2 linked regions of the Schizosaccharomyces pombe genome follow. The protein of the gene in region 1 interacts with the protein of each later gene in a pairwise test. Each region holds a gene or a part of one and is shown in the gene's direction. Other genes may lie near its edges.

The links. Proteins that work in one complex are often made in the same cells at the same time.
Region 2: the proteins of cct3 (region 1) and SPOM_SPBC3B8.08 interact in a two-hybrid assay, tested with the Schizosaccharomyces pombe proteins (one large-scale study listed by BioGRID).

Annotation. Positions count from the first base shown.
Region 1 is NC_003423.3:1,989,589-1,994,683, reverse strand, and holds cct3 (chaperonin-containing T-complex gamma subunit Cct3), read left to right. Parts: upstream 1-2,207; 5' UTR 2,208-2,220; coding exon 2,221-2,245; intron 2,246-2,283; coding exon 2,284-2,357; intron 2,358-2,427; coding exon 2,428-3,915; 3' UTR 3,916-4,268; downstream 4,269-5,095. Other genes in the region: pus7 (pseudouridine synthase), read right to left, coding at 1-757; SPOM_SPBC1A4.11C (uncharacterized protein), read left to right, coding at 1,034-1,408; U3 snoRNP-associated protein Sof1, read left to right, coding at 4,332-4,593, 4,650-5,095. UniProt on the Schizosaccharomyces pombe protein: Molecular chaperone; assists the folding of proteins upon ATP hydrolysis. Known to play a role, in vitro, in the folding of actin and tubulin.
Region 2 is NC_003423.3:3,376,497-3,380,572, reverse strand, and holds SPOM_SPBC3B8.08 (uncharacterized protein), read left to right. Parts: upstream 1-2,001; 5' UTR 2,002-2,133; coding exon 2,134-2,226; exon of another isoform or gene 2,227-2,389; coding exon 2,390-2,758; 3' UTR 2,759-2,864; downstream 2,865-4,076. Other genes in the region: U3 snoRNP-associated protein Utp3, read left to right, coding at 3,219-4,076.

The DNA of each region.
Region 1 (5,095 bases):
TAGAATCTCTGTTCTCCTTATACAAATGGAAATGGCAATATTCACCACCCAAAGCCTTCCAACTTAATCGGGGATCTCTTCGTGATCTAGGCTGGTTTTTTCTGGTGGTCTTTGACACTGTAAAAGTTCCATTCCCTTTTGTAGAAGACTCGAGTCCAGAAAAGTTGTTTCGTATGAATTGATGTAAGATCGTTCGCTGACCTTTATCCATAGGAGGAGTATTTTCGGGAAGAATTAATGAGATGGGATCAGTTATTTCACCAACTGATAGCTTATGAAGAGATTGAATAAATTCATTACCAATTCCCTTAGGTATGATACTTTGGAGGTCATTCGGCAATATAGGCAGTGTAGCAGGTTCTTGTTCCTTAAAAGAAGGAGCTTTCTGGTCATTACTTATATCTTGATTAGAAGAATCTTTTGCGTCTTCAGTTTCCTTGTCTCCGGTTGCCTTCGAAAGGATAGGATCGTGAGCTTCCATATCAGTTAAGTGAACTATATTTCCATCTGTATCAACTTCAAAAACAGCAAAATCCGTGAATCTTGCTTTAATAATTCCATCGATTGAAGGAAGATTTGGATTCAAAAACGCATCAATTCCTACATCTGACTCGGTCATATAAAACTTCTGACCGCTCAAATCTGAAGGAGCGTTGGCTTCATCTTCTAATCCATTTCTTTCCAAATTCCTTGAAGACTCAGATTGGTCAATCCGAATCCTTTTCCTAGGGACATCCACATGGTTTTCTTGGGACATTGCTAAAGCGAATATACAAATTTCAAAACCACTTGAATGGGATTAGCTACCGCGTTAGTATTCATAAAGCCATGTTAAGCACACTTTCTGCATCTAGTTATAAGGTGGATCGACAATGCTCAATAGTACATTATTACGAGGTGCGTATGACATTCATTAAAATTATACCACTCTCGACCATAATATATAATTTAGTATACCGAAACGAAGGATCTCGGAAAGAACTAAGAAAAGGAAAACAGACGAGGGCTACTTGAAGAAAGACGCCAAATATCAATGCCCGAGAAGGATTGGATTGGGGAATTTGGTCCCTCGAAATTCAAGAGCCCAATTGATAAATTAAATCAGCTTCTTCCTGAGAGCAATGACCCTTCTATATTGTACGAAACGTCCCAGCACCTTTTGTCTGAGTTTGATAAAACACTTAATGACTCTCTGAGAGTTTTGAACCAACAAATCAATCAAGTTTCAGAGGTCCTTCCCCGATTACCTACTATGATATCTGCGCTAGATCGTGAATCAAAACGCCTTTTTGAATCTTGCGAAAAAATGGATCCTGAACCTAGTGCTCTGATGCCCCTTCAAGAATTGGAGAAAATCCGCTCAAATATTCAACTCACAATTTCACAAATTGACAATCTTACGCCTTAAATTATTTACTTGCTGTATCCTTGTGCGCTTTGGTAAGCGTGACTACATTGAGTATATGTTTCTGGTTGTTTGGTTCTTCGAAAAACTAACATAAAAAGTTAGAATATTTCATGTAAAACAAATCTTTTTCTATGATTGTATATATGCTTGTTTTCTTCCCGTTGTATATATTCGAACGGTTCATCTATCGTTTACCATTTCTTCTGAATTACCCTACAGGTTTGATTTTTTTTTGACACTCCTCCACAGTGGTACATAAACGTATTGAACCATTATTGCTTTCGATTTGTTAGAAATAATACGGTGTTTTCTGACCTTGCATAAAAATTGATTATCTTCTATAAGCTAATTCTCGATATCTGTGTTTATTTTTCATGTGTACATTGTGAGTATAGGTATATATTTCGATAGGTTGTACACATCCTTTTTTTTTTACTTTAATCCATGAAATTACTACCACTTTTGACTTCTGCTTCTCTTGTTCGAAGTTCTGGGAATGAGAGAGCAGATGTATTTTCATATTTGTTTTATTTAATATCAAATTTTACAATTTTTTTCAATTATTAATTTACCTCAATTTATTTTAATATGAAATATAGCAAACTAATCATTTTCTCAAAGTAAATAAAAACGCTTCTGTGTTGGTCAATCTCGTTATCTTTTTGATTTTTATATACAATAACATTTGCAAAACAAAATTTGCGTATCGGTTTGCTATTATTGCGAATTTTAACGTATCCTTATCAGGGTTTTGAATACTTCGCTTTAAGGAACAAACGACCTTTACCAATTTGAAGTTGTCTTTCACCAACATGCAGTCTCCTGTGTTTGTTATGAGTAAGTTGCATTTCTGGTATTAATTTAATTAACCAAAGATACAAATGGCAACCGACAGGTTGGCCACAAGGCCCAGATGTCAAATATACAAGCTGCGAAGGCTGTCGCTGATGTACGGTTTTTTTCCATCCTCTTAAGCTTTAAACTGAGGTTTGTTATATATTACGTTGCTGACATTATAGGTTATTCGAACATGTTTAGGCCCGAGAGCTATGCTTAAAATGTTGCTCGATCCAGTTGGGAGTGTTTTGCTTACAAACGATGGACATGCCATTTTACGTGAAATTGAAGTCGCACATCCGGCTGCTAAAAGCATGATTGAGCTTGCGAGAACCCAAGATGAAGAAGTTGGTGATGGCACTACTTCGGTGATTATATTGGCTGGTGAAATATTGGCCGCTGCTAGTCCATTGCTTGATCGTAAAATTCATCCCGTTGTCATGATCCGCTCGTTTAAACAAGCTTTGGAAGATGCATTATCTATTATTGATGAGATAACGTTACCCGTGAATGTCGATGACAATGCTGAAATGTTTCGTCTTATTCGAACATGTATCGGCACTAAATTAGTTGCGAGATGGAGCGATTTGATGTGTCATCTTGCTCTTCGTGCTGTCCGTACCGTTGCTTCTACTTCAAATGGTAGAATGGAAATAGACATTAAGCGTTATGCCCGTGTGGAAAAGGTCCCAGGTGGTGAAATTGAGTCAAGCTGCGTATTAGATGGTGTTATGCTTAACAAAGATGTTACACATCCCAAAATGCGTCGTCGCATAGAAAATCCAAGAATTGTCCTGTTGGATTGTCCTTTAGAGTACCGAAAAGGTGAATCTCAAACTAATATTGAAATTTCCAAAGACACCGATTGGAACCGTATTCTTGAAATTGAAGAAGAACAAGTCAAGCGTATGTGTGATTATATCATTGCAGTAAAACCTGATCTTGTCATCACTGAAAAAGGTGTATCTGACCTTGCTCAACACTACTTGTTAAAAGCTAACATTACTGCTCTGCGTCGAACACGTAAATCTGATAACAACCGTATTGCTCGTGCGTGTGGTGCCAATATCGTTAATCGTCTTGAAGATTTACGTGAGAAGGATGTAGGTACAGGCTGTGGCTTATTTTACATCGATAAATTAGGTGATGAGTATTATACCTTTTTAACAGGCTGTAAAAATCCCAAGGCATGTACTATTTTACTACGTGGACCAAGTAAAGACATTATTAATGAGGTTGAGCGCAATTTACAGGATGCTATGGCTGTAGCCAGAAATGTGTTCTTCCATCCTAAACTTTCCCCTGGCGGTGGTGCTACTGAGATGGCTGTCAGTGTTCGTCTTGCGGAAAAGGCACGTTCTATTGAGGGCGTTGCCCAATGGCCTTACCGAGCTGTTGCAGATGCTATTGAAATCATTCCTCGTACTTTAGTTCAGAATTGCGGTGCCAATCCAATTAAAGCACTTACCGAACTTCGCGCGAAACATGCGGAAGGTCAACATAGCTTTGGTATTGACGGGGAAACTGGTCGAGTTGTCGACATGCATGAGTACGGTGTTTGGGAACCTGAAGCCGTCAAATTACAGTCAATTAAGACCGCGATTGAAAGTGCTTGCCTCTTATTGCGCGTAGACGATATTGTTTCTGGTGTACGCAAGCACTCCGAATAAATTGATATGCATTAACTCTGGGCATGCCTGGTTTATTGGTTTCTTAAAAAAATATTTGGATGAGAGAAAAGTGGTAATTTCTCGTGACAGTTGCACTGTTTATGGAAGAATAAAATTGTATATGATTGAGATTCATCAGTGGCACTCGTGAAATTTAGCTTTGATTAAAATGAACGTTTTAAAAGAATGGGAAGTTTGTGACCTGTGGCGTTTGCTAGTAGTTCGATAAGATTACTTTTAGTAGAATTTTTAAATAATTGAAATGAGTTTTAAAAAGCTAAATCTTAGGGATTGCTGAAGTATTTGCCCTTTTGTTTATTCAAATACGATGGTTTACGCTACACCTCATTATCCAATATTTTTGCAAGGTGTAGAGCTTACTACTAGAAATTGAAACTTGCAACGAACCAAAAAGGATGAAGGTCAAAACAATCACCCGTGGTACTTCGTTGACACGTCTTAATGATCAAGATCCTGTTAAAAGGAATTTAGATCCATCGCTCCATCCTTTTGAACGTGCGCGTGAGTATACACGTGCATTGAATGCTACAAAGATGGACAGGATGTTCGCAGCCCCTTTTCTTGGTCAATTGGGTAGAGGACATCAAGATGGTGTTTATTCATTAGCTCGTGATACAAAAACTTTGATAGATTGTGCCAGTGGAAGTGGTGATGGTGGTATGTGATAAATAAGTGGATATAAAAAGTTTGGATGTCACTAACACATTTTCTAGCTGTAAAACTATGGGATGCTAGTGAACGTTGTGAGCGCTGGACTTCAAAGGCACATGAAGGCATTGTTAGGGGATTAGTATTCTCTAATCAAGGAGACGTTTTATCTTGCGCTTCTGATCGCTATGTTTACATGCTTAATAAACAAGATGGCAAAGTTAAAAGATCGTATTTGGGAGACTCTTCTCTTTTGGATATTGACACTAGCAAAGGAGGTGATTTATTTGCAACTAGCGGTGAAAATGTATCTATTTGGGACTATTCTCGTGATACTCCAGTAACAAAGTTTGAATGGGGAGCTGATACATTACCGGTAGTCAAATTTAACTATACGGAAACATCGGTTTTGGCTTCAGCTGGTATGGATCGATCAATCGTAATTTACGATCTCCGTACATCATCACCGTTAACCAAATTGATTACCAAATTGAGAACTAATTCAATTTCT
Region 2 (4,076 bases), 1.4 Mb from region 1:
AGACTAAGACTTAGGAGTTAATGAGGTGGGGGAAATGAGTACTACGGGGGGGGAAGAGGTAATGTTGGGTATGTAAGTAAAGAATAATAGTAATAGTGGCTATGGAAAGTAATACAACATATACGGTGAGATGGGATGAACTGAATGAATTAGTATAAATTAAATGAACTTTAGTGAAGTTACATGAGACGGAATATAGTAAATAAAAAAAAAATAAAATAAAATAAATTTTGAAAATAAATAAATAAATTAAACTATGATGAATACATTTGTTTCCTAAAAAATATCTATTAATTTATTTATTTACATTTTACAAAGGAAGCATTGGAAAATACGAATGGTGAGAAATATGTTTAAAAGAAAAGCTTTCCATTTGAATACTTATTAGTACGAAAACGAAGTTAATGGAAAATAATAAATATAAAAAAAAAAAAAAAAAAAAAAGAATAATAACAATTTTCCTCAACTTTGCACAAGTTGTATGTATAATATACAAAGAAGTTTGGTCCGAATACCCATCATCTAAATAGCTTCTTAATAATCCCGTTCTATGCCATCTCCCCTTGACTGTCGAGATTTTCTTTTGTTTATTCTTTTTTCAATCAAGTTTTTATCTTATCGCTAGTCTTTGTACACAAGTTTTTCCTTCGCATCTGCAGTAAGCAGGAACGGAAAGGAAAAAGGGGTAAGGAACAATTAGGGTTGCTTTGAAATTTCAATGCTCAAATTCCAACATGCCGTACGGGAAATGATCGGGAAAACTTTCCGCTTTTTTAGCAATTTCAAAAGTAAAATTTACTACTTGTAACATATACGTATTGAAATTCCGCCAAACCTTCGTTACCATTTGTCTAGCCTCCGAAATCAGTAAACAAGGCAAACCGTCTATGTTCCTTAGTAAATAAAAAAAAACTGTCGCTTTGTAATATTCTTTTGTTCATTGGGTAAAGCATTTGGGGGTCTATGTATCTAAAAAGAGTTAAATTAATCTATAAAACAATTGCTTGGTTGAAAAAAACATGATTGTATTTCTCTAAATTTACGAAAAAGTTTACCTTTTTTGTCAATCCGCTAAATTTACCAACCTTATGATATTAATATGAAAACGAAACCTGAAGCGGGTTTCCAATAAACCTATCTTTTTGAGATGATTGTTATTTGCACCGACTATGAAATAAATAAACACCATCATCTATTATGCTAATTTGTGCAACATACTTAATTAACAAGTACTCTACTTAATTTAAATCATCATGAGAGAAAGTAGCAACTTGATGAATAATTTTATGTAATTATTTTGTTTTTTATTCCTATTAATATTTTGGTATTTGATGTAATCAATTCAGCTCGAATATATATTATTTTATTTTATTTTTATTATATCATCTAATTAACAATAAATATATTTCATCGAATTTTCTTACGAAGCTCGTTCATTGTTTCATTTTTTTTTTTCTTTTTTCTTTTTTTTTTTAAATTATTTGTGACGTTAGTCTGTTACACTAATACCCGTGACTTTAGAAAAAATGAGTTATAGAGGAATTATTAGATACATTATTACATCGTGTTTCGGAGAATTACAGCAAACCCCCATTAATGGTGCTCTTACTAACATTCACAGCTTTCATTCGAAAACGCATTTTTGTTTTGCCATTAACTTTTATACTAAAAAAATAGGGTAAAAGTTAGAACAAGTGAAATAAAATCAAGTGAGAAAAGGGATTATATTAAATAAAGGAAAGATTTAGACTTTAAAAAATAAAAAAATTGTATGGGTTCCATATATCGTTTTTTTTAATTAATTTACCCTAGTTTTTCAAATCATTGTACTGTAGCAGCGATTAGTACTTGCACACACCATTAAAGAAATCAAAAGTTCAGTTTTCAAACTCCAAAACTTTCAGTGCAGCGTTTTTTTTTATATAACTCTGTTTATTATATATACATAAATTTTTTGTCTTTCTTTAGTTCTTCGATTCAACCTACGCTCATAGTCTCTTTACAGACAACCTACAGCATTTTCGTCAAAACTAAAATTTTCTAACAAGTAGGGAAATAACTCAGAACATAAAATATACAAACACTTCTTATTTTTGTATAAATCGGTTCTATAACACTACTGTCTTTAGAAAAATGTTAACACAAGACGAGGTCTCCGCTCAACTGGGTCAATATATGCTCCGCGGCTATACTCTCTTGGATACCATTTGTCCGAAATGTGAAAAGGTAATTAATTTTGTATTTAGTCGTTGTTTAAACTTCAGGTGAATACAATGGCAAACGGAATGATATTAAGGAAGTCAGTTTTCTTTTCTCAAAATGCTTTTGCTACCTTGGTTTTTAAAACAAAACCAATTTTACTATTACCCTTTTTCTAACACTATTCTAGGTACCTATGATGCGACTTCGTGACAACCCTATGTTTTGTGTTTCATGTATAAACGACCTAAAGGAATCTGATGCCTCTGAACATGTAACAGTCGCTGAATCTGCTCCAAAGATAGCTTCCTTACCTATATCTAAAACAAATGATGCGGAAAGATCACAGCAAACAACAAAGGCGCCAGTTATGGAAAGAACTGAATCAAGCCATCAAGCCACTTTAAGCGTCTACTCGAGGCTTATTTCAGAGTTGGAAAGTCAGCTTGACGATCGTCTTCCTCTACCACACAATACTGAATTCCTTGACGTATCATTACAAAGAATTGAACGTATTTTAAATTTGATTTCACTTGCAAAATCGCTAATGTCGTCTTAGGTGTTTTTGTAAACAATTACAAGTCATCTATAATTACAGGGTAATTGACTTCGGTGAATATCAATTATTTAAAAGAAATACGAGATTTGCAAACGAGTTAAGTCCTTTAAGTCTGTTTCAATAAACCGCATAACTTCAAAACAACTGGCAACTATGACATTAGGAGAGTTTGTCAACATGAACCATGCATCTCACATAATTGTGTGCATCGAAAATTATACATGTAATGATTTTAAAAGAATTTGATATGTAAATACTTATTCTTGGAAAGAAAACACCTCTAATTAACTTTCTTATGTACGGAGAAGTCCATGAAAATAATAGTGTGGAATAATGAGTTGCTTTATTTTTAACAAAATTAAGTTTTTATTGCGTTAAATTCGCAAATAAAACTTGCCTACCCCTTTAGTGGCTCCTCGTAACTAAAAAGAATTTTTATATTTGTCAACTGCATATCAGTATGGCTAGAAAGAAGTCGAGAAGCTCTTCTACTCGGAAAGGTTCTTCTTTAAAGGTACCAGAAATAAAGGAGAAAGAAAAGATAAACGCAATCAATACATACGAAGATGTTGCTAATTCAGAAGATGAATTCTATAACGCACAGGATAAAATTTTGTTTGATGCTGACAACGGCGAGCAAGCAGACGAATTAGAATTAAGTGATGAAGAACTTGTGGCTTTAGAAAGTTCTAGCGATGAGGAAGATGGGAACGCCGAGGAGAATTTATCAGAAAATGAAGAGCTCTCGGGCAAAAAGAAAGACGCTGTTAATGAGGAAGAGTTATATGATAATAAAGGTTGGGGTCGCTCTGCAAAATCATATTACGGTGGGGATGATTATGACAATGAAGACTACTCTGAGGAGGACGATGAATTTGACGCACGAATGGAAGAGCAAGAAGCGTTGCGTTTACAACGTAAACGTCTTGAAAAAGTCAGCGAAACTGATGCTATTGATGATATTAGTCAATGGGCTGATAACAGTGACCTAAAATCTATAAAACAGGATTCCTCTGCTGCTGCAATTGAAGAACTTGTTCAGCAAATTTCACCTGATCTCCCTCGTACAGAGCTTTTAAAGATTCTAGAAGCTAAACATCCTGAATTTCAATTATTTTTAGATGAATTAAATCAATTGAAACCCCAGTTAAATGAAATTAAGGAGAAACTTAAGACTTATCCATCTTCTCAGCTACTTCAAGCTCAATGCACCGCTCTGAGTACTTACATCAGTTTTCTAACATTCTACTTTGCCCTCTTGAAAGATGGAGAGGAAGATTTAAAAAATCATCCTATTATGGTTGACCTTGTTCGTTGC